Linked DNA regions of Notamacropus eugenii. The protein of the gene in region 3 interacts with the protein of the main gene of each other region in a pairwise test. Links are inferred from orthologs where the notes say so. Each region holds a gene or a part of one and is shown on either strand. Other genes may lie near its edges.

Region 1 (6,923 bases), about 30 Mb from region 3:
ACACAGTTTCTACACAGACTTCCACAATTCAATGACACTTAAAAACCTTGAGACACATTAATGCTTTATTTCTAAGTAGTGGTGAGATTATATTTACTTATAAGGAAGACTTAGTGGTGCTCAGGCACCATCTCCAACCAGACGCCTTTCCTAGTGTTCTTCAGTTTTTCATATTCTCTTCTTTCTCAAATTATTCAGTTTGGCTTCTCTCTACATTTATTTTTAACCCCTCAGAATGTAAAATCCTTGGGAACAGAGTTTTGGGTTTGTTTTTTTTAATTCCCACTGCCTAGCAGAGTACTTTTCACATAGTAGATACACTTCTTCTGTGCTGGTTGAGTTGAAAAAATAGAACACTTTGGAGGAAATCATCTCATGGTACTAAAGAAATGACTACCTATGACCTCCCATAGAATCCTAAAGCGGTAAGCACCTTACTAGATCATATTGTCTGGTCCCCTGCCTTCATTCAGACACCTTATTATCCTCATTCTACAGATAAAGGGAGGGTAACATCTAAAAGGTCACACAGCTAATAAATGATGGAACAAGGACTAGAACTCAGGTCTTCTGCCTCCAACTGTGCTCTCTGCACTACTTCACACTGGCACTCAGAGGTGGCCTAGACAGGGACACAAGGAACTCAAGATGCTGATGATGTCCAATAAACTCCATTGGGTTTGGGAAGGACAATGGTTCCCAAAGGTTCTCCCTTCCTTTGTCTCAGTGTAGTTTGTGTCTCCGTTACACACCACTCAGCTTGACAGTCACTCCTCAGCTTTTTAAAAAGACATTCCCTCCAGAGGGGAAACATGACATCAACTCCCTTCTCCCACACTAGTCAGTCTGTCCATAGGCCAGTCCCCCAGTAAAGGGGAGCACAGACCTGTGACTCGCCCATCAATTTCTCAGCTCAGCTCCTTTTCACCTCCTCAGTCTTCCACTGGTCATGCTCCCTCCTACCCCAGAACCACAGAAGAGGAGTTGGAAGGACTCTAACCTTAACCTGAATAAGACCCTGCTCTCTTGCAACATTAACTTATAAATCTGGTTACTGAGCTTTTTCTTGAAGACCTTACTGCCTGCAGTCCATAACGTCTGGAGGCCTCCGTCTCACTTTCGGATAGCTTTAGTCATTAGCAGTTTTTATTCTTGTTTTTTCCCTTTTCCTCAGGGCTCAAGTAGCCACTTTGCCACTTCTGCCTGCTGGCTCCTAATTCAGTCCTTCGGGGCCAAGCAAAACACGCTTCTGTTCCCACCTGACAGGTAATGACCACGGCTCCTACAAGTCTATCTCCAGACATTTCTAGTAATGCACCTGCCACGGACCCCTCCTCATAAGAGCCCTGCCCCACCCCAGACAGTCCTACCCCCCTCAGCTCTCTCTTAGCATGGTCCCCCTATTATGCACCCCAGACAGTCCTACCCCCCCCCACCTCTCTTAGCACAGTCCCCCCACTCTACCTCCCCCAGGCAGTCCTACCCCCCTCACCTCTCTTAGCACAGTCACCCCACTCTACCTCCCACAGGCAGTCCTACTCCCCTCACCTCTCTAAACATGGCCCTCCCCAGGCAGTCCTACCCCCCCCACCTCTCTTAGCACGGTCCCCCCACTCCACCTCCCCCAGGCAGTCCTACCCCCCCCACCTCTCTTAGCACAGTCCCCCCACTCTACCTCCCCCAGGCAGTCCTACCCCCCCCACCTCTCTTAGCACAGTCCCCCCACTCTACCTCCCCCAGGCAGTCCTACCCCTCTCACCTCTCTTAGCACAGTCCCCCCACTCTACCTCCCCCAGGCAGTCCTACCCCCCTCACCTCCCTCAGCACGGCACCCCCCAGGCAGTCCTACTCCCCTCACCTCTCTAAACATGGCCCCCCCAGGCAGTCCTACCCCCCTCACCTCTCTAAACATGGTCCCCCCCAGGCAGTCCTACCCCCCTCACCTCTCTCAGCACGGCCCCCCTACTCTGCCCCCCAGGACGCCCCCACTTTCCTCACCTTCCAGTCCCGTCTCCCTCATCCACTCAACCTGCTCAATCCTGCCTCAGGCCAACCTCAGTACCGGATGTGACCCCCCAGGACGGGCTCCCTCACCTCTCCCCCAGCGCCCCCCAGGTCCCTCCTTCCATTCCTCTCTAGCCAGGACGGGGAGCCCAGCCCCCTCCCTTCCTGCTGGCACCGGCAGCCCTGCCCCCCAGTCCTGGACGCTGCCCCCTCATCCCCTCCCCCACCACAGAGAACCCTGACCTCTCAGTCCTCAGCTGCCCCCAGCAAAGCTCCGAGCCCCTCCACCCCTGCCCCCTCAGTCTCTCCCTCACACGGCCCCCAACTCCTTCCCCATCACAGCCCTGCCCCCCCTCAGTCCTCAGACCCCCTCGTCCCCTCCCCCATCACCCCCAATCACCGGCAGCGCTTCCCTCCCTCAGCCCCTCAACCCCCCCGATCCTTCCTGCCCCGCCTCCTCATGCCCTCCGCGCCGAGGCTGTCTCTCCTCACCCCGCCATCACGGCTCCGAGCATGTAGAGCAGCAGGAGGCACAAGCCGCCCAGCCTATGCGGGGCCATGGTCAGTCTCCTCAGCGACAGCCCGCACCTTCTTCCCCTATCCCGGGAGTCCCCGCTCCCCGCGGGAGGCGGGGCCGATGCACCGCCAGGCCAATCAGTGACCAGGGCATCAGCGCGTGCCGGCGCAACGACCAATCACCGACGGACACTTCAACGCCTAGCTCGCGTTCCCGGGAGGGACGGACCCGGAGAGCGGCATCCTAGGGTCGACCAATCACAGGCGGCAGCGTCACCGGCGTCGCAGCGCCCCCTCCTTTTTCCCATAGAGATACGCGGCTCTCGGATTGGAGCAAAACGACGGACTGCTGGCCAATTGCGGGCAGTAGCGCTTTTCGTGAGCCCCGCCTCCTGTCTCGCTTTGCCAATCCCTAAAAGCGATGGCTCGTCTTACCTAATCCCGAACCAATCATCGGGAGTTTTACGGCAGTCCTAGACTGGGACACAGGAAGGTTAGGTTTTTTCAAAGTCAGGGCTGGACTGCAACTGAATCTTTACTGAGCCCTCACCACTGATACAGACTTCCGAGGGGGGCATTGTCAACGTGAGAGCCGAGAAGCACCACGTGATCTCGCGGCAGACCGGGCCGAATTCGTCTCGCAGGAGCCTTCCGAGGCCGCTCCAGATCTGCCGGCGGACTGGAGTGTCTCCTGCTGTGCCTGCGCGCCTGCGCCGTGGCTCCCCTCAGCCTCCGCAGAGGAAGCTTCTGCGCAGGCGCTGGGGATGTCGGGGCAGTCCCTCTCGTCCCGCCCCCTGCTCTGCCTCGGGCGGTTCCTGCAGGTAACGTCCAGGGCCGGTGGTCTGGGAGGGTGGGGGTCATTACGCCTTCGGAGGGCAGTCCCAGGTTGACCCATGATACCCCCCCTTTTAAGAGAGGCGGGCTCCAGAGCTCCCCATTTGAGGGGGATCTCAGGTTCTCCCTCAGTTGTGGGGGGTCATCCCATGCCGTCCAATTTTAGGGGGCCCCCCGGCCTCCCCTTTTGAGGGGGATCCAAGTTTCTCCCCATTGGAGAGGGAGGGTCTCAGATTATCCCCATTTGAGGAGGGGGTCCTATGGTCTCATTTGCTGGGGCATCACAGCTTCTCCTGTAAAGTGGGGGGTCATGCAGCCCCCCAATTGGGGTGGTAGTGCCGTCTTCCTGGAGGTGATCCCACGGCCTCCTTTGGGGGGGAGGGGGCTCGGTGGGCTTCCCTCTGGAGGTGACAAGTTGGGGGATGGTCATGTGGCCTTCTCGAGCGGGGAGCAGGGAGGGTCCGGTTGGGGAGCGCCCCCCCTAACATGGGACCCAAGTCTGTCTCCCTGACCCCCCCAAGTTGTGCCCCTGGACTTGCCTCGGGTGGGAATCCCAGGGGTCCAGAGGATCCCAGAGGCCCTGGGGAGATGGGGGAGGGATTGGAAGCTGTCTCCAATTGTACAGCTTGCCCCTTCAGCCTTAAAAGGCACGATCCTGCCCCTCCCAGGATAATTTCAAAACCAAACCAAAGGAGAAAGTTTGGAGTCGAACTTCTCATTCAGGGGGGCATATGCGGGAAGCCAGGGGACACCAAGCAGGAAACTTGTATTGACCCTGAAATCTGTTTCTGCTCTCATCAATTGATCCAAATTGTGCCCTCAGGAATGAAACACAACCAGTTTCATCCCTTTTCCTCATGACAACCTTTCGAGTATATACAGACAATTGTCATGTTCCCTCTGTGTCTTTTCTTCTCCAGAATAAACATGTCTGGTTCCCTCGTTCCATTCTCAGGTGACAGACGGTTTCCTTTAGCCTCTTTGTTGTTCAGGTGGTTTGTTTTCCAAAGATTCCAGAGGGGAAAGATTTCAGCACAATGGCCTGGTTGATGTGTGCTTAAGAAGTAGAATTCATTCCAACTGTGTGAGCTTCACCTTGTGAAGCTTTTCTATTGTAGTGGTCAGTGCTGCCATCCAGCCTGCACCGCCCTGCTGCATGCCTCACTTGGTGTCTCTGGTCCTTGGGTCACTGAAGATGGTCATCTCTTGTGTCTTTCAAAGACTCTTGAAGGACTTTTTGTATCCCCAACCCTTAGCACGGTGCCCAGCACGTAGGAGATGTTTGATATGTGCTTATTGACCGACTGTTTGGATGGGAGACACCATGTAGGAGAGAGCCTTGTTCAAAGTGGCATTTTCTTCTGCCAAATCACAGGCTTTTTAAAAGCCAACAAACACCTTAGATGCAGTCATTTGTGTAGTGGTAAAGATGTGGTCCAATGGAAAAAAACACTGGTTGTCAGAGGCTGCCTGTTTGCTGCTAATCCCCTCGATCCTGAGGATGCCAATGATGCCTTTGGGGCTGATTCTCAGGGAAGTTGTAAAGTTGGTACCTGGGTGGGTGGGCAGCAGCCACCAATGTTCTCTTGCTCACCTGTGTTTGGTATTGATAGGGGCTGAGATTTTGTTTCCCACCATTGATATTTCCCCTCCTTGAAGGGAAATCCCTCATCACCCTCCTAATGGTGCTTGCTTTGGTGTGTGCCTCCTTCTTGCACTCTTACCTGAATCTAGCCTTCTTCTACAACCCTAAAAGCCCAGCCAGGGTCACTGTCAGAGTCCAGGCACACTGACTCCACTGTTGCAGACGGAGAGAAAATTTGATTGTGAAAACTTTGGCAGCTTTTCCGTTTGTCTTCTGGGCTTTGTCACCTTTAATGCCCTGGAGGTAACTGCCTCCTCTGCTCCTGGCAAACTCTCTTCAGGCTGGCTTTAGTCCCCATAATCTTTCATTCTTCTTTGTGAGATCATCTTACAAGAGTATGATCATAGAAGACTCTGAGGTCTATAGCACACAAACTGCTTTTAAACCATTTCCATGATCTGATGACTTCCTCCAGCCCAACAGGACTTTATAATACCTCTGTGACCTTAGGCAAATCCCTTACTTATAAGATGAAGGGAGTAGACTCCCCGACTGAGTTTCCTTCTAGTTTTAATTCTTTTATCTTATAAAATCATTGCATTAATTTCAGCCAAACACACTGGGTTTCTTGTGGGCTGGGCACCTTGTGATAGAGGATGGCTTGACCAAATAGGCACAAACGGCTAGCATGGACCATACAGGTAGGAATTGTTTTGTTAAGTAGTCCCAGCTGCCTGTAATTCAGTATAGCCAAACTGCCGGCCTTTCTGTGCTACTTCATTTAAAAATAGTTCACTATGTTGTCAGCGCCTCAATGATAAATGTATGTATGTTTTTGTTTCCAGTTAATTTACACAGAAACTTTGTTTCCTAGATTTGCAAAGGAGCCTCTTGAGACACAGATGGTGTCTGAGTTAAAATGGAGCAGTCAGCTGTCCACCTGTGGGTGAGAACAGAACCGTTTATAGTGGGCACTTTGCCTCTCCCTCCTCCAGCCAAATTCAGCCTTCATTATCTCAGAAAGATATCCACATATGTTCGAACCCGAGCCAGGGAGGGAGGTTACCCACGCCTCTTCTGGCCCACATGGAGGCACATTGCCTGTGGGAAGCTACAGTTAGCCAAAGACATTGCTTGGCTTTACTTTGAGATCTTCGATAGTCTGGTGCCAAGGACCCCAGAGGAGCGTCTGGAATGGGCTGACCTGATGTCTAGCTGCACGTGTGAGGAGGATATGGAGAAGCAGAGGAGTAAGGTAGGCCTTTGGGCCCAGTATTTTGGGGTTCAAACAGGAGAGAAACTATCTTTTCTACAATTGCAGTGTATAGGTTGGGGAGGCCATCAGAGCAGTTGGCAGTGAGGACCCCAGCGTCTCTGGTTCAGAATTAACCTTAGCCCATCCCACATCATTGTAATCACCTTCTCCAGCAGCAGCAGAGCAGGGATCCCCATGGAGAAGGAAAACAGTTTGGAGTGGGGGGTGCTGGGCAACACACTACACTAATTGTAAGGTGGGAGCACACATAGGAGGGCTTCTAGCACATTCACTCTTGATTCAGACAGACAGTAAGACAGGAACAGAGACATAATAAGAGATTAAATATTACTTTATTCTGGTCTAAGGATTGCTGATAATGGAAGCACCAGCTCCTATAGCTTCCCTACAACTCTTCTCTCAGGGACCGGTGAGAATGGAAGTTCCAGCTCCTAGCATCCCCTGACCCTTGATGGGGGCTGGTCAAGGAAGGACACATGTATTCCCCTTGAAGATTCCCCCTAATCCTTGATGGGCGGGCCATCATGCGCGTACAGCATTCCAGCTTGTGCATTCCCCTCTAAGCACAGCATTGCATTGTCAGATTCTCCGCTTACTGACCAATGCCCCCTTGATTTATAGGGTAACAGACAAAGAAGGCAGTTTGCCAGCAATAACCTCCCGAGTTTTCATTATCTCATTTTTATATCTTATTGCGCAGTCGCAATG
Region 2 (6,969 bases), on a different chromosome or scaffold from region 3:
TGAAATTTATCATAATTACATTACACATAATTGAATTTTATAATTATGATAGAATTGTATATTATTAATTGAACTATATGTTCTATATTCTCTAATAATATAATATATAGTATGAGATAATGCATATAATGCTATTTAAATATACAAAAATTTTAATGTTCTAAGACATATAATTATCTGTATTATGTTATACTGTTATTATATTATTATATATTATGTAATAATATATAGTTATTTACATAATTATAAAATATAACATTTCAATAATATAATTTCAATAACTATAGAATTTCCATAATAATTTCAATAGCTATAGAATATATACTTCTATAATATATTGTTGCATATAAATACAATATCCAATATAATAATATTATGCATATAAACATATATGCTTATATACTAATGATAGTATATAAGAAATACACAAGCTCATGCTCACCAGAGATGTTTGCCTTTGCCATACAGAATGTCCAATACGGAATTTAAATGGAAATGGGATCCCCTATAAATGGTGAGGACCTATTTTCAAATGATATTTTGCTGATATTTCAAACTGTGGAATACTGCAGAATTTCCTACATCAGATACATGCCTCAATCGATCGGTAAATATTTATCAAGTACTTACTATGTGCCAGGCACTTTGCTAAGCACCAGTGATGCAAAAAAGAGGCAGAATATAGTCCCTGCCCACAAGGATCTAATCTCTAACTCAAAAGAGTTCAACCTAACTACCTACAAAGGAAAAACTAAGTGGATAAAGAATGTTTATTATCCAGATCATGATATATAATTAGATGGAAAAGCCTTAGAGCTGGTCCATCCAATCTATTCCAATCTAGCAAGCATTCTTTAAATGTCTTCTATGTTCAGGCAAAGGACTTGAAATTAAAGCCCCCTTTATTAGAGACGGGATAACAAATTATGTTATACAAAACTAATAGAGAATTATTGTGCCCTAAGAAATAATGAAATGTATGCTTCAGAAAAACCTGCAAAGACAAATATGAACTAATCTAGAGTGGAGTGAGTAGAACTAAAACAATTTATACAATAATAATAAAATTGTAAAGAAAACAACTATTAAAGGCTTGAGAACTTTGACCAAGGCAATGACCAATGATGATTCCAGAGGAGTGACTATGAAGCTACTCATCGCTTGAGAAAGAGGTAATGAGCTTAAGAAGTAGAATAAGACATAGCCAATGTAGTACTTTGTTTTGCATATTTCTGTGAATCGTTTTTTCTTTCAATGTGAAGGATGAGGGAAAGTAGAATAAGAAAAAAAGGAAAAGGAAGAAAAGAAAAAGAGAGATGAAGGAAGGAAGAAAAAGAAGAGAGGAGAGAAAGGAGAGGAGAACAAGGAAAAAGAAAGGAGAGAAAAAGAAAGGAAAGGAGAGGAGAGGCAAGAAGAGGAGAGGTGAGGAGTAGGCGAGGAGAGGCAAGGAGAGGCGAGGAGAGGCGAGGAGAGGAGAGGAAAGGAGAGAAGAGAAGAGAGGAGAGGAGAGGAGAGGAGAGGAGAGGAGAGGAGAGGAGAGGAGAGGAGAGGAGAGGGGAGGGGAGGGGAGGGGAGGGGAGGGGAGGGGAGGGGAGGGAAGGGAAGGGAAGGGAAGGGAAGGGAAGGGAAGGGAAGGGAAGGAAAGGAAAGGAAAGGAAAGGAAAGGAAAGGAAAGGAAAGGAAAGGAAAGGAAAGGAAAGGAAAGGAAAGGAAAGGAAAGGAAAGGAAAGGAAAGGAAAGGAAAGGAAAGGAAAGGAAAGGAAAGGAAAGGAAAGGGACATTGAAGCATCTTTTTTAACCAATAAACATTTATTAGTCACTTATTATGCACCAAATATGCATAATCAAACAAAACAAGTTCCTACCTTGGTCATATCCAAAAATATACGTCTCATTCTGTATTTGGTGTCTATCACCTCTCTGTCAGAAGGTGGGTAACCCACTTCATCACTGGTCATCTGGAATGAAGGTGCTCATTGCAGTTCTTTTTTTTGCAGGGGGAGTGGGGGGAGGCAATCGGGATTGACTTGCCCAGGATCGCACAACTACTAGGTGTTTGAGGCTGGATTTGTACCCATAAAGATGAGTCTTTTTAACTCCAGGCCCAGTACTCTACACACTGTGCCACCCAGCTACTACTTACTAGTGCTGTAAAATGAATGGGTTGTTTGTACAAAAATACTTATGACGCTGTTTTTTGTGGTGGCAAAGAATGGTACCTGAATATGTATGGAGCATGAATATGTTGGAATACTTATGAATATGATGAAACATCATTGTGGCCATAAGAAATGAAAAGGGGATAGTTTCACAGAAACTTGGGAGTATTTATAGAAAAAGATACAGAATGAAGTGAGCAGAGCCAGGAGAACAATTTATGCAACATCAAAAGTGTAAAGACAAACAACTTCGAGCTCTTTTTAAGAATTCTGTGCAAGGGCAGTTAGATAATACGAGATCTAGAGCACCGGGCCCTAGAATCAGTAGGACATGAGTCATCTTTTTTAAAGAAAAAAAACAAGCAGGGCATCTTTGATAGTTACAGGTTGAATTATATACTTAAAAAATACAGCAAGCTGTACATAATAGCGATCTGCAGTTTCATACATAATCCTCTTTTATGCATTTCTACAGATACAGAATTGCCCAGGTTGTAAAGTTGAAAATAAAAATAAATATTATTAAAAAGAAATTTTGCAGAGTTTTTAATGACCCTGAAAGTCCCATCTCTTTAAGATCCCTATCTTTTGCTGACTGTGTATTGCTGCAAATCACAGAATACCAGCATACAAAAAATTAAATTTATGAATTACCCAAAAGAGAGGCTCATGAAGGGCCAAAGTAGACTACAGTTGATCAGCAATTAATTTTGCAGTGGTGTGATGTTATCAAAGAGAGGTATAGTCTGAAAACGAAGTATGATGGGTCCTGAGGTAAGAGTGAAAGATAGTGAATAGTCAATGTACCCCATCAGTAGCCCCCGAAGGACCAAAGGAAGGCCCTCTGCACCTAGGGTAAACCCTTGTGGAAATTTATGAGAGATGGGCATGAATAAGTAGGAAAAGGATGAGAAGGCGTAGTATAGTGGGTTGCTATCTGAAGATATGCGTACAAACTATTAGTCTGACTTTAACATGAAAACTTTAAGAACAGATGTTATGATTTGACAGACCTGGGAAGACTTCCCCTTCCCCAAAGGGTACTTCTTGCTAATGCCTGAAATTCTACATTAGGGAAGGGAAGACTGCAAGAGAGAGGGTTGTTGTGTTCATCCTTCTTTTGGAAGAGGACGGTGACATCAAGATGAAAACGTGACTTGCAGTTGACTTTGATCTGAGTGAGGGAGGGCTGTGGAAGATCACCAGCCTCACTTTCTCCTCCTGAGCCACCTGGGTCCAGTGATCAGATATTCATCAGGATGACTGGAGAAGGCCCAGGGAGACCTTGACCTTTTAGGCTAAGGCCTTTTCAGGTACTCACTAGAGAGAGGGAGAGAGAAGGGGAGGCCAGAAAGGGAAAGGAGTAACTTGTTCTTTAAAAAAAAAAAATTTTAAGAATAATCCTAATCACTGTAAAAAATTCTGTGTCCAGTGTATAACATGTTTTTAACTGAAGGACCGGAGAAAAATGAAGTCTTATTTCAAACCAGGAGAAAACATAGCCAAATGTGCCCCAGTCCAGCCTACATTTTATAGTTCCCCGAAAGGCAAAGCCCAGAGGGAGGGAGGGAAAGAGGGAAGAAGTTGAAGGTGGACTAGAAAGGGGGGTTGGGGGGGAAGGAGCTGAGGCGCCAGGAGCAGGGTGTGGGGAGGCGGGGCGGGCGGGTCTGGAGGAGGAGGAGGAGGAGGAGGAGGAGGGCGCGCGGAGAACAGAGCCGCGGTCTCCCGGAGGGGCTGCCTCACTTGCACCGGCCCTGCGCCTCCCTCAGTTCCCTCCCCCTTTCCCTCCCTCTCTCCTCTTCCTCCTCCTCCTGCCTCTGCTGCTGCTGCCAGACCTCACCAGCTCAGACTCATCTAGCTTCGCTCTGCATCGCACACACCTTTACGGCCCCGGGCTGGAGGGGAAAGCGCACCCTTGCAGGTAGGAGCCCTCCGGAGCGATCTTAGAGCTTTTAGAATTTAGTTAGCAACCGGCCGTGTATGCACAAGTTCATAGGTGGGTCCTGGTGAGAAAATGGAACTTGCACTGAGGGAATGTGGCAGCGACTCTGCTGGCACACAGGTCTGCTGGCACAGGTCTGCGTATCTCTGCACCAGTTAAGACTTTAGGTATCAGGTGTGTACACGCTGAGTGTGTGTGTTTAGAGGTAGCTGATATTACAGAATAGGAGTGTCCATACATTGGAATTGCATTGCATTTGCATCAATGTGCGTTTTCTTCGTTCCATATATGTGTGTGTAAATCAGCACGTTTGCGTGGATGTAAATATGATTTTGTATATTTCAGATTGCTTGCGTGTGGTGTGCTTTGTAGGTATGTATGGGTCTCAGCGTGAGTGTGCTCTAAGCCAAATCTGTAGTCCTTCAAAAACTGAGTTAATTAAAAGTAGGAGCGCTTAATTCTGCGGCTCTGTCCCCCGGAGTTAGGTAGGCTCCTCCAAAGAAGCTGGAAAACACCTCCATGCCCGCCCAGACCACAGCCAGCCGCGCCCCCAACCTTCCCAACCCCCAACCCTGGCCACCCTACAACGTCTTTCTCTGTGCCCTCTGCCTGGAGACTATGCAAACTCCTGGGTCTTATGGGGGGTAGGGGGGAAAGACGATGAAAAAGGGAGCCAGGCACTCCAGGTTACTTATCTTCTTTGCGTGAGACTTGTAAGGCTATATACACACTGTTAGCTGAGAACCTCTGTGGAAGATCCAATGGGAAAATTTGTGCGGGGGAGGGGAGAGCTGCCAAGAGAGGACTACCGAGATGGGTGGGTAACTAGTAGGGTGAGAGAAGAACATGATTAAGAGATCTCTACAAAAATCTCGAACTAAGGAAATGTGGGGGTGCCCCCCACCACGGACTTTGCAGGGCTTTGCTCTGGTTCTTAGAAAGACAGTGAAAATCTTTAAGAAATCTGAAGTTGTGTTAAAAATATCCCCCCAAACACACACATATACGCACACCTCCTCTCTCCAAAAGACTAGTAAGGAATGTACATTACCTCCTTTGAAACCTATGATGGTTAATTCTCTTTCTAAGTGTGATATCCAATGAGATGGCCATCTTTATTACTTTGGGACTTTGTATATGTAGCTCTGTCTTCCAGGTGAAGAGGGGTTTCTGCTGCTTTTTTTTTTTTTTTTTTTTTTTTTTTTTGCTACTTTTGGTGCCTAGTTTGGCGAAGAGGAAGGGTGGGGTAGAGTCAGATGAGAAAGTGAATTCTTAGTACAGTGTGGTAGACAGCCTCCCCTGCCCTCTATCTTCCTTTAGAGGTTACATTGTATCTCATGTCTTGTCCTTTCAATCAACAGATATTAAAAATCCATTTGTCTTGTGTTTCCTTTGAGATTCAGGATGTTGAAAATACTCTTCCTGACCACTTTGACTCTTGCTCTTGTAAGGTCACAGGAGACAGAGGAGACCATCACATACACGGTAAGGTTTGATGGAATTTAAGATAACTTCAGTTTATAGAGAGTCTATGACAGGAGAGAAATTACCTACCTCTGGAAGCAGATGTGGGATTACTCCCACAGGTCTTTACCACAATGTGTGTAATGAATTAAACAATGCTCCAGCATCGGAGCAGATCGTTCAAAAGTTTATTTACATCATAAACTGAGATAAGAACAAAAACTTAATATGTTAGCCAAGGCAAGAAAAAAACTGATTTATACACTGATGAAAGATATTTATACATTCTAGACATATTCATTAAGCCAGAAAAAGCTTGAAAGGGTAAGTAGGAAGTCATTCACTAACCGATAAAGCCAAAAACTTAGTCACAGGTCGCTCTCAATTAAAATCTAAGTAGATGGAACATTACAGAAGTACCTTAGATCATGTATACATTTAACTGGAGTTTCTCATATGAAGGGAAACTAGTTTATTAAATGTCTTATAGGCTATGTGTGTTTAATAATGTCAGCAGCAAAGTCAAATGTTTTGATGCATTTAGAGTCTCCCATTAGTGAGAGACTTTACTTGTGTGTTAGTCAAAACCTAGTGCTGGGTAAAAAATTGTCTTAAAATATACTTTGTGCAAGTAGGTTATATGAAATTTTTATTAGAATACATAAAATTTCCAATAGTTCTTTGAGAAAATAATTGTATAGCTGTGACCAATGGTTAATAAAATATTGGAAATATCTTCTCACTCCTCCCATTGCCGGGAATTGATGTGGTAAGAACAGAGGAGGGTCGGGACTGCCTCACTTCCGGTAAGTTTTTCACCCTGCTTGTGTTTTCTGCTTTCTAATAATCAATGTTATGAGGAGAATAATAACATTTGCCCTGGCTTAAAATGATCAAAACAACATTGATCCCAATTTGCAAATATAGTAAGTTCTCACCAATTATTGTGGAAATTTTTTTAAATTTTCTTAAAAGTGAGTAAGCATTTTACTGATAATAAACATCATCTCACTTTTTCAATATCATGTAATCCTCAAAATGCTAATTTTTATCTGGCACCATGTCTTTGTGTCATTCAGGCTAATTATAATGAAACAATTTATTATGAATGATTTATTAATTTAATGATCAGGTGATGATTTCTTCCTCTCCTGGGACTAAGCCAGGTCAGAGAAATACTAAATTAGTGCATCTCCTTTTTTTAATCTCTAGGCTTTAATAATGTTCACTTATTAATTCAGTCCAAAGTCACTCTTTCAGAAAGCTAAAATTAAATTTGCTTCCCCTTTATCCAATTATTTAATAAAAGACTGCTGCTTTGATAAATTAGTTAACATAAACTAAAGAATGAATTAATCTTGTAAGTGAATATTTATCATTCACTTATACTGTCTTATACCTCAC
Region 3 (7,014 bases):
AACCCCAGAGGATGGAGGCTGGGTCTGTGGAGGGGCCCGCTCCACCAGATGGATCACCTTTCCCCCAACATCTGTAGTAAATGAGAAAAGAGAAGAGAAGAGTGAGGGAAAAGTCAGTTAAATACCTCAACCCTCCCCCCAACCAGCAAATAATCCTTCTCCTGAAGCCCCATCTAGCCCCTCACTGTATTCCTGTAGCTTCTTCTCATCCTGCAGAACTCGCCCCTGATATATGAGTCGCTGTTTCTCAGAAGGGATGCTGACCGAGGCAGCAATATGCTCCTTAAATTCCTTCACTGTCATCTGCAGAGATGAAAAGGAACAGGAAGAAAGGTCACAGAATATGTAATGCAGAATATCAAGCAATTAGTGGGGGGTAGAGGGGGGGTGAGTCACATAACAGTTATAAAAATCATTGCCCATTTTATTACATTTATGAAGTAGCCACTGCCTGCAAGGTTCTGGGCTAAGAAATACCTGACAGAAAACAGCAATTTTTAAAATTGCAATTTATTATTTATTTTTGACATTTTCCTTTTAAATTCTGAATTCTAAATTCTCTCCGTCCCTCCCACACCCACTGAGAGGCAACAATATGATATCAATTACACATGTGAAATCACAGCAATGGTTTTAAATGGAAATTCAATGGCTAGCCCAGGAGAGAATTAAGACATAACAACAGAGTCCCGTTAAGTCCTATATTCTCTCCCTTCCCTTTGGTTCTATGTCTGGAGTTACAGGTAGGGAGAACCTTACCATAGATATAAGTATGGTTAATAAGGGAACATTCTGTGAGGGAAAAGGAACTGTAATCAGACACAGGGTCCCAGACTGTGTTTGGATATCAGATGAGATTAGTTTAACAGATGAGATTAATGACTTGTGCATGTCCAAAGAAATAGGCTTTTTGTGTTATCTATGTATAAGTAGACATACACATACATGTATAAATGTGTTTATGTACGTAGGTGTATATATAGACATACACATACAAAATATTCTTCCTTACGTTGCTGTCTTTGTATCAAGTTAACAACAATAGTAAAAATAAACATTTATAGAGCATTTTACAGTTTTGCAAAAGCAAATAACATAGAGAGGTATTATAAATTTATCATTTCTAGTTCACTCATAAGGAAATCTAGGTTTAGAGATGTTTGGTGATTTTATCAATCCTAAATCTTTCCTAACTCTAAGTATACCATTATTTCCACAATACTGATCAACTAAACCAGACTTAGGGTGTATCCTAACTCAGTTATTCTGTCCCTGTGCCAGAAACCAGGGCATGATTTGAAGTGATAAATGGTTTTTCTCCGTGAGATTTCAAAACTTGAGAATATCCCCAAACAACCCTACTTCTAGGTTCTTCACTTTCATCCATGTTATACTTTCTCTACTGATATGGATCACAACTATTCTACTACTTAATAGTTTAATAAATTACTGTAAACAAAAAATTCATTTGTAGGCCAATCTTGTGATGATCAACCTCCTCTGAGTATTTCTCAAATGACAAATATTTAGTACACTGCTGGATCCGTAATCAAAGCCTTTCCAGCTTGATGGGACTTGGAAGCCTTGTAGTTTTGTTGGCCTTGCCTTAGAGAGCCAAACTATTATGAGCCAGCAAAGTTAAGGAAAGAAACATCCCTAATTACCCTCATACTTTCTCAAGTCTACTTGTGGTTTCTGCCAGCGTGCCCTGCCCCCACCCTCACCCCCCACAGGTTCCATATCTTTTTCCATTACAGCTGGAGGCTCTTCAAGGACAAGAAATTCATACTCTTTTTTTGCCTCTAGGATTCTCCTAAGAACATAATTATTCATATGATAAAGAGACTGTCCTCTTAGGAAATGCATCTCTCTGTGACCCAGACAACAATCAGAACACTTTCATGAGATGTTTCTTTATCTACAAAATGAAGAGAACCAGATGATCTCTAAACTACTTTCCAGTTCTAAAATCCACTAACTGATGTTCAATATGAATAATACATGTAAATAGAAGACAGACAGAGAATCTGGTGGGTCCTTTTCTCAGGATGAAAAAGTGATTAAGGAAAAGCTTTTTATAGAAACTCCGAAGATTTTTGAACCCTCAGCTCTCACCTCAGCCCCCACAGTGAAGGTTCGAGTCTGGGAGTCCAAGGTCTTCACCAGTACCTCCAAGTTGGCTGGTTCCTCCATAGCACTGCTGCTATTATCACTGGGTTCCATGATGAACACGCTGAAGAAGAAAACAAGACTAAATTGTTATCACAGGATCTAGCTAAGTTCCTACGTTCCAAGTGCTGATCCAAACTCTACCACAACTCCCCAAGGAATCCAACCCCCACTCCAACTCCAAGCACACACACATTGAGCTTCTAACCCTGGGTGAGGGGAAGAGAATAACAAGAGCAGTAACTCAAATACAGGAGAGGCTTTGAAATAACGCCTGTAATAACGTCAAGGCAGCATCTGTCACGACCCAAAGGAGGACAAGAATGAGAAAAAAGGATGGGGGGGAGGGGAAGGCGTGCGGGGTAAAGGCCTGAATAAGATTGGGAGGTCCCTTCTGTCAAGAAGGTGAGAAGGGACCAGGGAGACATGCGCCACGCACGCGCACCATGCCACGCCCACCGCGATAGGGAGCCCGCGAGCCTGCTTCTGTCGCGACAGATCAGGAAATCGGGACAATGACGGAAGGAAAAGAGAGGCCCCGGTCTAGCTGGATGTCACCCTTCCCCTCGGTGGTACAGTGAGAACTACGCACAAGTACAAACACATATACATACATGTACGTACACCCACATACATACACACTAGCTGGTAAGTACGTACACCCACATACATACATACACACACACGCATATACACACACCTGCCCCGCGGCTCCGCCCCCGGCCTCCCGGCGGCAACGCCACTTCCGGTCCTGCCCCCACACTTCCGCACGAACACTTCCTGTTCCCCGATAGAAACTGGGGGGTCGCGAGACGGCACTTCCGGTTCCCCCGGTCCCCAAGATTTCCTTCTGTGGGGTACGACGAGGAAAGGGGCAGCCCGGGTTACCGGGGAGCCCCTAAGAGGAAACGAGTCGGGGCTCGGCCAAGGTGGGAGGAAGCCGAGCACCCACAGGAGCCACCGTCGCCGCCTCCCGGGGGACCTTAGTGCGCTTGCGCAAACCACACTGCGCTTGCGTACACGATTGAGGACCCGCCCCACTGATTGGATTTACCAGCCTACAGTGCGCGCCTGCGCCACAGCGCGAGGAGGGTGGGGAGGTCGCGTAGCGGATGACTACAGCAAATGCCTGAAAGTAATTTTCCCGTTGGGGCTTTCCGTCTATCTCGCAAAAGACCTGTTCTCTCGTGAGTGGGAGGACTGTGCCTTTGGCATGGAGGTTGCTTCTCTAAAAAGGGAAGAAATTCGCGGTTGGCCGCGTCCATCGGACGGCAATATTTTAGACACCTAAAGTAAACCCGCTTCCACCTCTCCTTAGGTAACCTTCCAAGCAGGCGGTTAGGGGCGGTGAAGGTTGGGGCTCCGCACCATGTTCATTCAGAGGGGCACGAGCCAGCCGCCATATTTCTTTTGGGCAACGCGAAGTTTTTCAGGGTGGGATTCATACGTGGGCGGGTTTGCGTTTTTTTTTTTTCCTTCCTAAGGGTCACGAGAGTAGCCAAACCACTCGTTGACATCTCTGCCTTAAATGGAGGGGGTGGGGGAAGAGGTAAAGAGGCCATATTTTTTGAGGGCGGAGGTTGCTGCCATTTTGTTACTCTTGCTTAATGCTGGTGGGGGAAGGGAAATGGAAGGTGGTAGCTGGTAGTGGGACAAAGACCAGGGATAGGGAATGGGGGAACCAGAGGAAGTCTGGACCATAGAGGAGGTGACAAATCCAGAGAGTAGTGCTCGGTGGCTAGGCAAGACCTTTGGAGGTCCCCTTGGGGCTAGGAGGGTCACCATTTCAGAACTGTAAGGGATTTAAGAGGCAGCTTATTCCAACCCATACCTCAGCAAAAGCTTCTCCTCAAGAAATCCCCAGCAAAGGGGTCATCAAGATTCTACTTAGAAGACCTGGATGAGAGAGAACAACTACTCTTTAACAGCTCATTCAGCTTTTACATAGCTTTCACTGTTCAAGATGATTTTTCTTTACATTGGGCCTTCAAAATGGGCTAAAGACAAAAAATTATTTATCCAGTGCAATTTTATTAATTACCAATTTAAATCCAACCAATTGAATCTCAGATCAGGCCCTCTTTTTTTTTTCCCCCTGTAAGATTTATCATAGACTGCATTAAAAGAGGTATGTTGTCCAGAATGTGGAAAATAGCTTTGTGATTTTCAGCCCTGGTCAGATCACATATGGAGTCCTGTGTTCACTTTGGGGTACCACATTTTTGAAAGGACAGTTAGGAACTGGGAAGCATTCAAGGGAGGACAACCAGGATGGTGAGGGACTTGGAGGAAATTTACATACACAGATACATACATATACCTTTGTTGTTGTTCAGTCACATCCAACCCTTGGTGACCCCATTTAGGGTTTTCTTGGCAAAGATACTGCTGGAGTGGTTTACAGTTTCCTTCTCCAGCTCATTTTAGATGAGGAAACTTGCCAAGTGACTAAGTGACTTGCTCGAGGTCACACAGCTAATAAGCGGCTAAGGTCAGATTTGAACTCAGGTCTTCCTGACTCCAGGCCTGGGCCATCAAGCTGTCCCTAATATACATACATATACAAATATGTTCATAACTGATGGAAGGAACAGGAGATTTGTTAGCTGGAAAACTGAAGGCTCAAGGAGGGATATAACTGTCCTCAAGTATTTGAAAAGTTGTCATTTGTTAGAGTAATTCTACCATTCCTCTGCGGCCCCAGCTGTCAGAACTTGGAGCAATGGACAGATATATTGGGTTTTTTCCTAATGGAGCCTTCTGCAAATGCAAGGGAGTGGTGCCTCTTTAGGTGGTGGGTTTCCCCTCACTGGAGTCATTCAAGTAAACACCAGATGACCAGGAGTAGAGGATGATTAGAGTAGATTCTTTTTAAGGTATAGGTGTATAGCCCTTGGGGGTGGAGCGGGGTATAGTGGGCTATATGTTCCCCATTGAGTAGGGTTCCAACTCTGAGATTTTATAAATTTGGCTGTGCTTTATTGTTCGAAAATTTCTCTTGCATCCTTGTTTCCCACTATTGTTTAACCCTTGTATGCATTTCTTTCTGAACATTTAAGCTTCTGCAAAATGGAGTTATTTGCTTCTCAAACTTTCTTACCTCCTAATCCTATTCATCCTCTAAAGCTACCTTTAAGTGACATTTCCTTCAGGTAATAGTAGCCTTCTGTTTGCTTCTCATCCCCCAACTGATCCTGTTATTTTGCAGAAAGGTGCATTTTATTTGCTCCTCTCATATACTTTTGTTCTTTGCACTATAGTTATTTATGTATGTTTTGTGCACTATGAGATTGTGAGGTCAATGAGGATAGGTAGCAGAAGGTAATTTGGTTTAATGGAAAGAGTACTGAACTTTACAGCACGACTAATGTGAAAATGTTTAATATGAATGTATACGTAGCACCTATATCAGATTGTAGGCCTGTGTGTATATGTACATATATGTGTATATGTAGCACCTATATCAGATTGCAGGCCTGTATGTATATGTACATATATATGTATATGTAGCACCTATATCAGATTGCAGGCCTCTGTGTATATGTACATATATGTGTATATGTAGCACCTATATCAGATTGCAGGCCTGTATGTATATGTATGACCTACATCAGGTTGCAGGCCTATATGTATATGTATAGCCTATATCAAATTGCAGGACTATATGTACATGTACATATATATATACATATATACACATATATATATATGTAGAGCCTATATCAGATTGCAGACCTATATGTATACGTAGAGCCTATATCATATTGTAGGACTATATGTATAATGTATATGTAGAGTCTATATCAGATTGGGGTGGGGGAAGGGGAGGAAAGGGGAAAAATTTGTAACTCAAAATCTTATGGAAGTGAATGTTGAAAACTAAAAATAAACTTTAAAAAAAAGTTGAAAAAAAATTACTGGACTTGGAGTCAGAGGATTTGGATTGATTGCCAGCTCTGCCACTTAGTAGTAATGTGACCTTGGAAAAATCACTCCTTTTTCAGACCTGTTTGGTTATTTGTTAAAAATGCAGGGTTTGAACTTTTTAGGTTCCTCTGAAATCTAATATATCTTTCTCTATGCCCAGCACAGTATATAAAAAGTACTTAATAATTACTTTTTTAATGTAATGATTTTGCTGCAGTGTTTGTCTCCTTAATTAGATAATATGCTCTTTGAGGACAGGACTTCTGTCTATATTCTCTCTCCCTCACCAGACATGGTGCTATGAATATAGTATACAATAAATACTGCCAGTGAATGAATGAAGGAACCTCCAGAAGGCTGCACCCTTCCCCTCCCCCAGCCAGGTGTAAACTCCCAGTTATGCTGCTAGTATGTAATTTGAGGAGGGGGAGGAAAGCCCAGAACACTGTCAACAACCCAGAGTTGGGTTGGAAAACAAGACTAGTTACTCATTAGCAGATCCAGGGGATCAAGGGTTGAGGAAAGGGGCCAGAGGCTGCACTGGACAGAACTCACAGAGGAGAGTAGTTTCAGGCAGCTGCCACCCTTGCACTATACTCTCTGAGGATGTTCTACCAAATTTGGAAATCTGTCCTTTACATCTCCGGGATTCTCTATGACTCCATTTACCAGTGTTCTAAGCCTTATCAATTAAGTCCTCTGGAAGTAAATGGAAAAGAGGTATGGGGGCAGGAAGGAGGGTAGGGGAAAGACAACAGGAGGGAATTAAGCAGGGATTTGGTGGTCTGTAGAAGAGATTTTGAGGGACTTAAAGTGGGGAGCCTGGGGGAATACCTGGAGGTACAAGATGATATGGGGATAGTGATGACAAGGAACGGATATAAAAAAGAGTACTGAGACTTTTAGAGTAGTAAGCCC
Region 4 (7,343 bases), on a different chromosome or scaffold from region 3:
CTACAAAGGAATTTAAAAACCAAAATCAGATTTTGTATTTGATTCTAGAGTCAAGAGGGAGCCACTGGAGTTCATTTAATTGAAGGTTGTTAACATGGTCCAACTACCTGTGCTTTGCAAAGCTCACTTGGACGGCTGAGTGGAGGAGAAAGGGAAATGGAGAGAGACTTGAGGTAGGCTAACCATTAGGCTATTGGAATAGTCTTGGCATGAGGTAATTAGGGTTTTTACCAACATGGTGGTAGTGTGAGAAGAGAGAAGAGGATGTGTAGAAGAGATGTTGTAAGGTAAAATCAGTAAGTCAACACTCTCCAATTGCCTATAGGATACCTAGTTCAAAATGTCTAATAGGCAATTGGAGATTCTAGAATGGAAGTCAAGAGAAAGGTTATGGCTGGATAAATAGATCTGAGAATCATTTGTATAGAGATGAGAATTGAATATACAGGACCTATGAGATCACCGAGCAAGGTAATGTAAAGAGGAAAGAGAAGAGGTCCCAGAAGAAAGACTTGAAGGATAATCAGGTGCACACTCAACGAGGAGACAGAAAAGGAGACACTAACAATTAAATAGTGACCACAATTAGTATTTATACTGTACTTAGATGTCTGTAAAGTCCTTTGTATATGTTATCTCATTTGATCCTCATAACAACTCTGTGATGTAGCTGATATCAGCCCCATTTTATATATAAGGAAATTGAGGCTGAGAAAAGTCTAGTGACTTGCTCAGGGTCACTCAGCTAAATCAGTGCCTGAGGAAGAGTTTGAACTTGTCTTCTTGACAAGCTTTCTTTTTCAGTAGACTGGATTGGTGCTGGCCAACTATATCATAACTCCTTTCTAGAGTATAAAATCCAGAGTCATGATGAGTGTTGCTACAAGTAGCTTTCACTGATGCAACAATTTAGAAAAACAAAACATATATTTTTAGATTTCATTTCATACTGAGTAATAAACTCTCAAAATACAAAGGGCAAATACTCTTAGACACATTCTACAGATGAGAAAAAAAATCCCTTCCAGCTCTGACTCCACTTTGGGGAAAAATCATTCCCATTTCCTGATGAATTGCAGCACTTCCTTCTCAACCTTCCTTCCATTAGGAAGTTAATCATCATCTTTTGTTTCACTTGGCTGGTTTCAGGAATTGCTTCTGGGCTATTTAAAGGACTGGTGTGACCAGACTAACACAGGACATGGAAGACTTTACTTTCCCTCTTTGAAACTCTAGAGATTAGCCTTAAGACTTGCTGGGTGGGGGAGGAGTGGCAGAATATTTCCAAAGAATTAATTAAGACTCAAAAGGCATTTGGCAGAGTTTGAAACTGATTTCCTGACATTTTGCAATTCAGTAGCTTTTCTGAAAAAGAAAAAAATGCAATTCATAATCATTTGTCTGAACGAATGGATTTATGTCATGTACTTAGGCCTTAAGAACATGTGACAGTCAGCAGCCCTTTGATAAATCACAGTTCTTGGAAGTCAGTAGGAAAATGTCACCATCTAACAGAAGTTGCATTTGTATGTATATGTGTGTCTTCATAATCAGCTTTATAGACTTAATTTAATTTGCAGATAAATGACCTGTATTTAATAAAGACTTTAATGGAATGTTATTGTATGAATCTCATTCTAAGAAATGAAAGCCTATTTATTTGATTTTCTAGGAAACAAGGCTTCTCAGCAGCAGCAGGGGAGAGGAAATGTAGTGATTGTGGAACAGAACGACTTGGGTTTGAATCATGACTCTGACACCTACTGCCTCACCTGTAGGAACATTGGACTGATCCTTTCAGAACCTCTGAGGACCTCAGTTTCTTTATCTGTAAAGTGAGCGAGTTGGACTCAATGAGGCACTCCTAGCTCTAGATCCTATCTTCTCTCTGGTTCTGTGTATCTTTCCCTCTTTGCCTTTGCTCCTTACACACACACACACACACACACACACACACACACACACACACACACACACACCTGTATCATTCCCCAAACCACTTTTGCACTGAGTGGGGAAACCATAATCTTCTCCTCCTGAGATAAATGGACAGTTTGATAAAGGTCCCAAGCAAATCTATATTTTTGTATCTTTGCCATTTCTAGTCACAGGCTCATAGTATATGAATGCTGGATTTCTCTTTTAAAAAAAAATTCTTCTCTCAGGGACCTTAGATAACACAGAGTCTTGCTGCTTCCTTTAAAAATTAAGGATCTGAAACCTGAACTGATATGCCTAAAGTCAAACAGGCTCCAATGTCAGTCAGGATATAAACCCAGACCCTTTGTCTTCAAAACAAGGGTCTTTCCACTCTTGCACACTCTCTAGAGAGCCCCAAAACCTTTTATGTCACTATTTTTGGATACCTCATACTTGAGTTGGCAGATCTGCCACAGAGAAAATAGAACATGATTCTCCCTAAGGAAATCTCACCAACTGAATCTTCTTGAAGTCTCAGAGCTCTTCTTATCTGGTGCTGGGCTTTTCCTTTAGCCCCCATCTGTACCATTCCCAAAACCAATCTTGCACCAACTGGGGAAAATATAATATTCTCCTCATAAGATGAACAGATGGTTTGATAAAGGTCCAGAGCAAACCTATCATTGCTGTCCGCCAAAAGACTGGAACTGTGAATCCGGATGAGGAACGGTCCACAAACGGTCAGTAAGAATCTCCAAAACCTGGTCTGAGTCATAATCATGCCTGTGCATTGGGAGAATCAAAATTAAGTGGACAACAAAATACCAAAAAGTCACTGAATTTAATTATCAAGAAGAACCTTCCATTCCCAATGGACAAGATAGTGATGTAGAGCCAACAGAGTCCCTGTAATTTGGGGTTTTCTCATCATACATCTTTATTTTTAGGAGGAACAGGACTGGTGGATTTAATCTTGTTTTCCTTGTCACTATTTTTAAAATGTTTCTTGCATCTGCTACTCTGCCTGGTTTGAACTCCTTCACAAGAAGCCCCTGCACCAGATACCCACTCTCCATTCTCCTGCTTTTTTGTGTGAGGGGTCTCCTCCTTTGTATCTGCAGCCTCAGTACAGTGCCTGGAAATAATAGGGGCTTGATAAATGTTTATTAGATTAGATTGGATTGAAAGTCTCAACTTCTGACTTCATGAGTGCAGGGTACTTTTGAGGAAGATCAGCCACTCATCTGTAACTTACCTAGAGAGGTGCCTGGTGACTGAGTACATTAGAAATTACTGGTAGATTTATTGGTCATTTTTCAATGTAGTTTTTCCCAAGGGGCCATGGTTCTGGAATTTTGTCAGGAATTCTGTTCATTCAGAATGATCCCTTCTCATCCTTCACCACATTTGTGAGATGCTTTTCTAGAATTTTAATATCAAAGTCACTAGAGTTCCCTAATTTGAATTAGTCTTATGTGTTATGGCCTGAGAAGAAAAATGATCTCAAATGGACACAATTTGAATGGATTCTAGCTACTGCTGACATTACAGAGTTGCAGTTATATAGTTCATTGGAATAATACAGTTTTATATGTACAGATAGTTGCAATATTAGAAGTCAAATTCTTTAAAAAAAACTAATCCAGGTGCAACCATTGTTTGGATTATCCAGAATATGTTTTATATACTCATTTGAAAATCCCTTTGTTTTGGTGATCAATATCTCATGATAGGAAAGAGATATCTCAAGAGCATATTGAAAGAAATTTTGTTAAGAAAATGAGAGAATATTCTAAAGCACCAAACAAATATTTTATTAAGGAATAAATTGATACATATGGTTGTGGATGTTACTGTCTTAATGAGAAAATCAAATTGGCCAGAGAAGTTTCACATGCAACATTTTCTGTGAACAAATCTGTCCTGACATACTGAGAAAGAAGGTTTTTTGTGAGGTTTCTGAACAAAACATCTGCTTGCTATTATGCAAATAGCTAAAAATGATACAAATGCTTGTAATTCATCTAATATCAACCCCATTAGGGATCTATTTTGCATCCAAGTACAAATTAGAATTACAAACAATATTTTTCAAGTGTGTAACATGTTTTATGTTGCTTGTACCATAATCTGAAAATCAAGCCACAAGCATTTATTAAGCTTCTACTGTGTGCTAAGTCCTTTGCCAGGCACTGGACCTACAAGACACAATAGAAATAATCCCCATTTTCAAGGAACTCACACTCTTTGGGGAGAAACAATATAAGCAAATATAAAATACATGATATCATTAACCCTAACAAACATAATTTGTATAAATATGATGCTCATTACAAGCTAAGACACTGTTCCCAATTGATAGTCAAAACATATGAACAGGAAGTTTTCAGACAAAGAAATCAAAGCTATCTATCTATAGTCATATGAGAAAATGTTCTAAATAACTATTTATCAGAGAAATGCAAATTAAAACAACTTTTAGGTACCACCTCATGCCTATCAGAGCAACTAATATGACAAAAAGGGAAAATGTTGGATGTTGGAGGGGATATGGGAAAACTGGGACATTAATGCACTATTTGTGGAGTTGTGAACTAATCCAGCTCTTCTGGAGAACAATTTGGAACTATGCCCAAAGTGCTATAATACCCTTTGATTCTGCAATGCCACTGCTAGGTGTATATCCTAAAGAAATAAAAAAAAATGGGGGAAATGACCTATGTGTATAAAAATATTTATAACAGCTCTTGTGGTGACTAAGAATTGGAAATTAAAAGGATACCTATCAATTGGGGAATGAGTAAACAAGCTGTGGTATATGATTGTAATGGAACATTATTGTGCTGTAAAAAATGAAAAGCAGAATGATTTCAGAAAAGCTGGAAAAACTTACATGAATAGATATAATGAAGTAAAGAGAACCAGGAGAACGTTGCACACTGCAATAGCAATGTGGCTCAGTGAAGAACTATGAATGACTCAGCTGTTCTCAGCAAAGACAATCCCAAAGAACTAATGATGAAGTGTACTATCTGCTTACAGAGAAAGAACTGATATTAATTGAATACAGACTGAATTGTGCAATTATTCACTGTCTTTCTTTCATTTTTCCCCTTTTATTGGGGTCTTCTTATATAAAATGACTAATACAGAAATATTTTACATGATTGCATACTTATAACATATCTTATTGCTTACCATCCCAGTGAAGGGAAAGAAGAGGGAGGGAGGGATAGAATTTGGAACTAAAATTTTAAATAAAAAATGTCCCACAAAATTGGGGGAAAAGATAAGACATTGGAAATCAGATTTATAATTAGAAAAGACCTTATATGCTATGGAGTTCAACCCTACCATTTCATAGCTGATGGACTAAGGAAATAAGAAGTTAAGACTAGTCACAAGACTAGTAAGTTCTTGAAGCAAGATGTGAACCCAGGTCTGCTGACTCCAAGTACAGGACTCTTTACTATTCCTCTATCAGACATTTCTAGGCATCAGAAAATTATCCCCTTCTAGAAACATTTTCACTTACCCCTGGAGTGGTGACAGCTGAGTAGGTCTGTACTTTCATGCTGTACAATTTGGTGAAAGGTCTTGATTCAACAACTTTGAATCCAAATTTGCTATCTAATTTCCATAGTGAAATCCATTAAGATGATAAAGTAATCCCTTAATTGTTAAAACTTCAATCATACTTCCTATACCCTCAGGAATTCCAACATTTTTCAATTCTGCCGAATCATCATATGGGGTCCTATCACACCCATATGTTACACTAAAGGAGTTTCAGGTGTGAGATCAACATACTTACTTTTAAAAATGTCCGATGGTTAGTTACTGGATGTTATGCTTAGAATGAGCTTCCTGGGAACTGTTAAGAGCCTGGCTCTGTAGAAGGGCAAGGGCAAGTACATTTATCATGAAGGTTACTTGATTAATTTTTCCAAACTCACAGCAGGTGTTCAAGAATTCTGTTATGAGAGCACTAAATGATAACATTAACTGATTGCCCTTAAGAGGTGGAAGAACTGATAGAGAAAATCATTTCAATGAGTAATAAAAGGAATGGCACAAAAAAATGAACCGCTCAGAATCCATTGAACAAACGTTACCATTATTCTTCATTCTGTTTAAATTATGGCATGACTGGAAATTGAATTTGGAAGACCATGCAGTTGGTTCTGAATTGAACTAGTAGCTTATTCCTGTGGTTCCACATGAGAATTTAACACATTCCACTTGGATGCCATCATCAATATTTAATGACACTCATGAGAAAAGTAATCAAATCAAAAGTAATCAAAAGTAATCAAGTAGAACCAAGTCTAAAAGGGAATGCAGTTATATAGTATGACTGTATTTAAAAGAAAAGAATCTCTATCACATTATAGAAGTCAGGGTAGCTGGACTATGGGTACTGTCAACAGTGAGTGTGGACAATGTCCTTGAGAACTTTGCCACCTTAACTTTCAAATGGTCGTATTATACTATAGATCCATCGCAAACTTGCTAGTCACTAGGCTCTTGCACATAGTAACCATCTAAATGTGTTTTTTTCTAATCCATTCATTTGTTCACTAACACACCTAGCCATTTTTCAGGTAAGCTATTATCTCACCACAGATCCATTGTATTGTAGTTATTAATTTTAATTAAGATATACAGCTTTAAGTCCATCTTTATTAAATCTCTTGTTATTAGATACAGTACAACCTTCTTTTCCATACAGGTCTTTTGAGACCCTGTCTCTGTCACCTGACATATCATCTCTACCTCTTAACTGTTTCTTTACCCTTTATTCTTTTGCTTCTGTTACTCTCACAGGATGCTCTGTCTTCTCCTCACTCCTTGTCTTTTCACTGACTGCTCCCATGCCTGTAATTCTCTCTTCTCTCGTTTCTACCTCTTGGCTTCCTTGACTTTCTTTAAGACTCACTTCAAACCCCATCTTCTGCAGGATGCTTTTTACTTCTCACTATTTCTTCTCCTATTTTCCCTCTGAGATGACCTTCTATGTGTAATGTACATATCTAGTATGTATGTATAGTTATTTGCATGTGATCTCCACTATTAGACCGTGAGATCCTTGTGGGCAAGGATGGTGGTTTTCTCTTTCCTCTCTGTGTAGCCCTAGCACTTAGTACAGTGCTTAGGACATAGTAGGTGCTTCGTAAATGCTTGGTGACTGACTGTATCATCTTCCAATTTTATAAGCATGGTAAACATGCGTTGTCCAAATCGCTGATGAGGATATTAAGGAAACAGTGTGGGAGGATGAAAAGAACACTGACCCTGGAGACAGAGGACCGTAGTTCAGATCCTGCCTCTGGTATTTACCACTTATGTAACTTTGGGAAAATCACTTAGACTCTCTGGCCCTTGGTCTTCTCATCTGTAAATAAGAATGTTGGACTAGGTTG

What was found.
Region 1: the proteins of BAG6 (region 3) and DNAJB11 interact in a two-hybrid assay, tested with the Homo sapiens proteins (2 studies listed by BioGRID and IntAct). The link is inferred for Notamacropus eugenii from reciprocal best matches to the Homo sapiens genes BAG6 and DNAJB11.
Region 2: the proteins of BAG6 (region 3) and EFEMP1 interact in binary tests that used the Homo sapiens proteins (3 or more experiments, as listed by UniProt). The two-hybrid records come from large-scale screens. The link is inferred for Notamacropus eugenii from reciprocal best matches to the Homo sapiens genes BAG6 and EFEMP1.
Region 4: the proteins of BAG6 (region 3) and SERPINI2 interact in a two-hybrid assay, tested with the Homo sapiens proteins (2 studies listed by BioGRID and IntAct). The two-hybrid records come from large-scale screens. The link is inferred for Notamacropus eugenii from reciprocal best matches to the Homo sapiens genes BAG6 and SERPINI2.

The regions. Positions count from the first base shown.
Region 1 is NC_092873.1:55,002,552-55,009,474, forward strand, and holds the start of DNAJB11 (dnaJ homolog subfamily B member 11), read right to left. Parts: upstream 3,012-6,923; 5' UTR 2,565-3,011; coding exon 2,497-2,564; intron 1-2,496. Other genes in the region: TBCCD1 (TBCC domain-containing protein 1), read left to right, coding at 5,859-6,194. UniProt on the Homo sapiens protein: As a co-chaperone for HSPA5 it is required for proper folding, trafficking or degradation of proteins.
Region 2 is NC_092872.1:650,314,656-650,321,624, forward strand, and holds the start of EFEMP1 (EGF-containing fibulin-like extracellular matrix protein 1), read left to right. Parts: upstream 1-3,945; 5' UTR 3,946-4,080; intron 4,081-5,498; 5' UTR 5,499-5,505; coding exon 5,506-5,586; intron 5,587-6,344; coding exon 6,345-6,371; intron 6,372-6,969. UniProt on the Homo sapiens protein: Binds EGFR, the EGF receptor, inducing EGFR autophosphorylation and the activation of downstream signaling pathways. May play a role in cell adhesion and migration. May function as a negative regulator of chondrocyte differentiation.
Region 3 is NC_092873.1:85,277,694-85,284,707, forward strand, and holds the start of BAG6 (large proline-rich protein BAG6), read right to left. Parts: upstream 3,005-7,014; 5' UTR 2,870-3,004; intron 2,742-2,869; exon of another isoform or gene 2,615-2,741; intron 2,234-2,614; 5' UTR 2,224-2,233; coding exon 2,116-2,223; intron 304-2,115; coding exon 186-303; intron 72-185; coding exon 1-71. Other genes in the region: APOM (apolipoprotein M), read left to right, coding at 6,703-6,816. UniProt on the Homo sapiens protein: ATP-independent molecular chaperone preventing the aggregation of misfolded and hydrophobic patches-containing proteins.
Region 4 is NC_092877.1:357,004,587-357,011,929, reverse strand, and holds the start of SERPINI2 (serpin I2), read right to left. Parts: upstream 3,020-7,343; 5' UTR 2,702-3,019; coding exon 2,434-2,701; intron 1-2,433.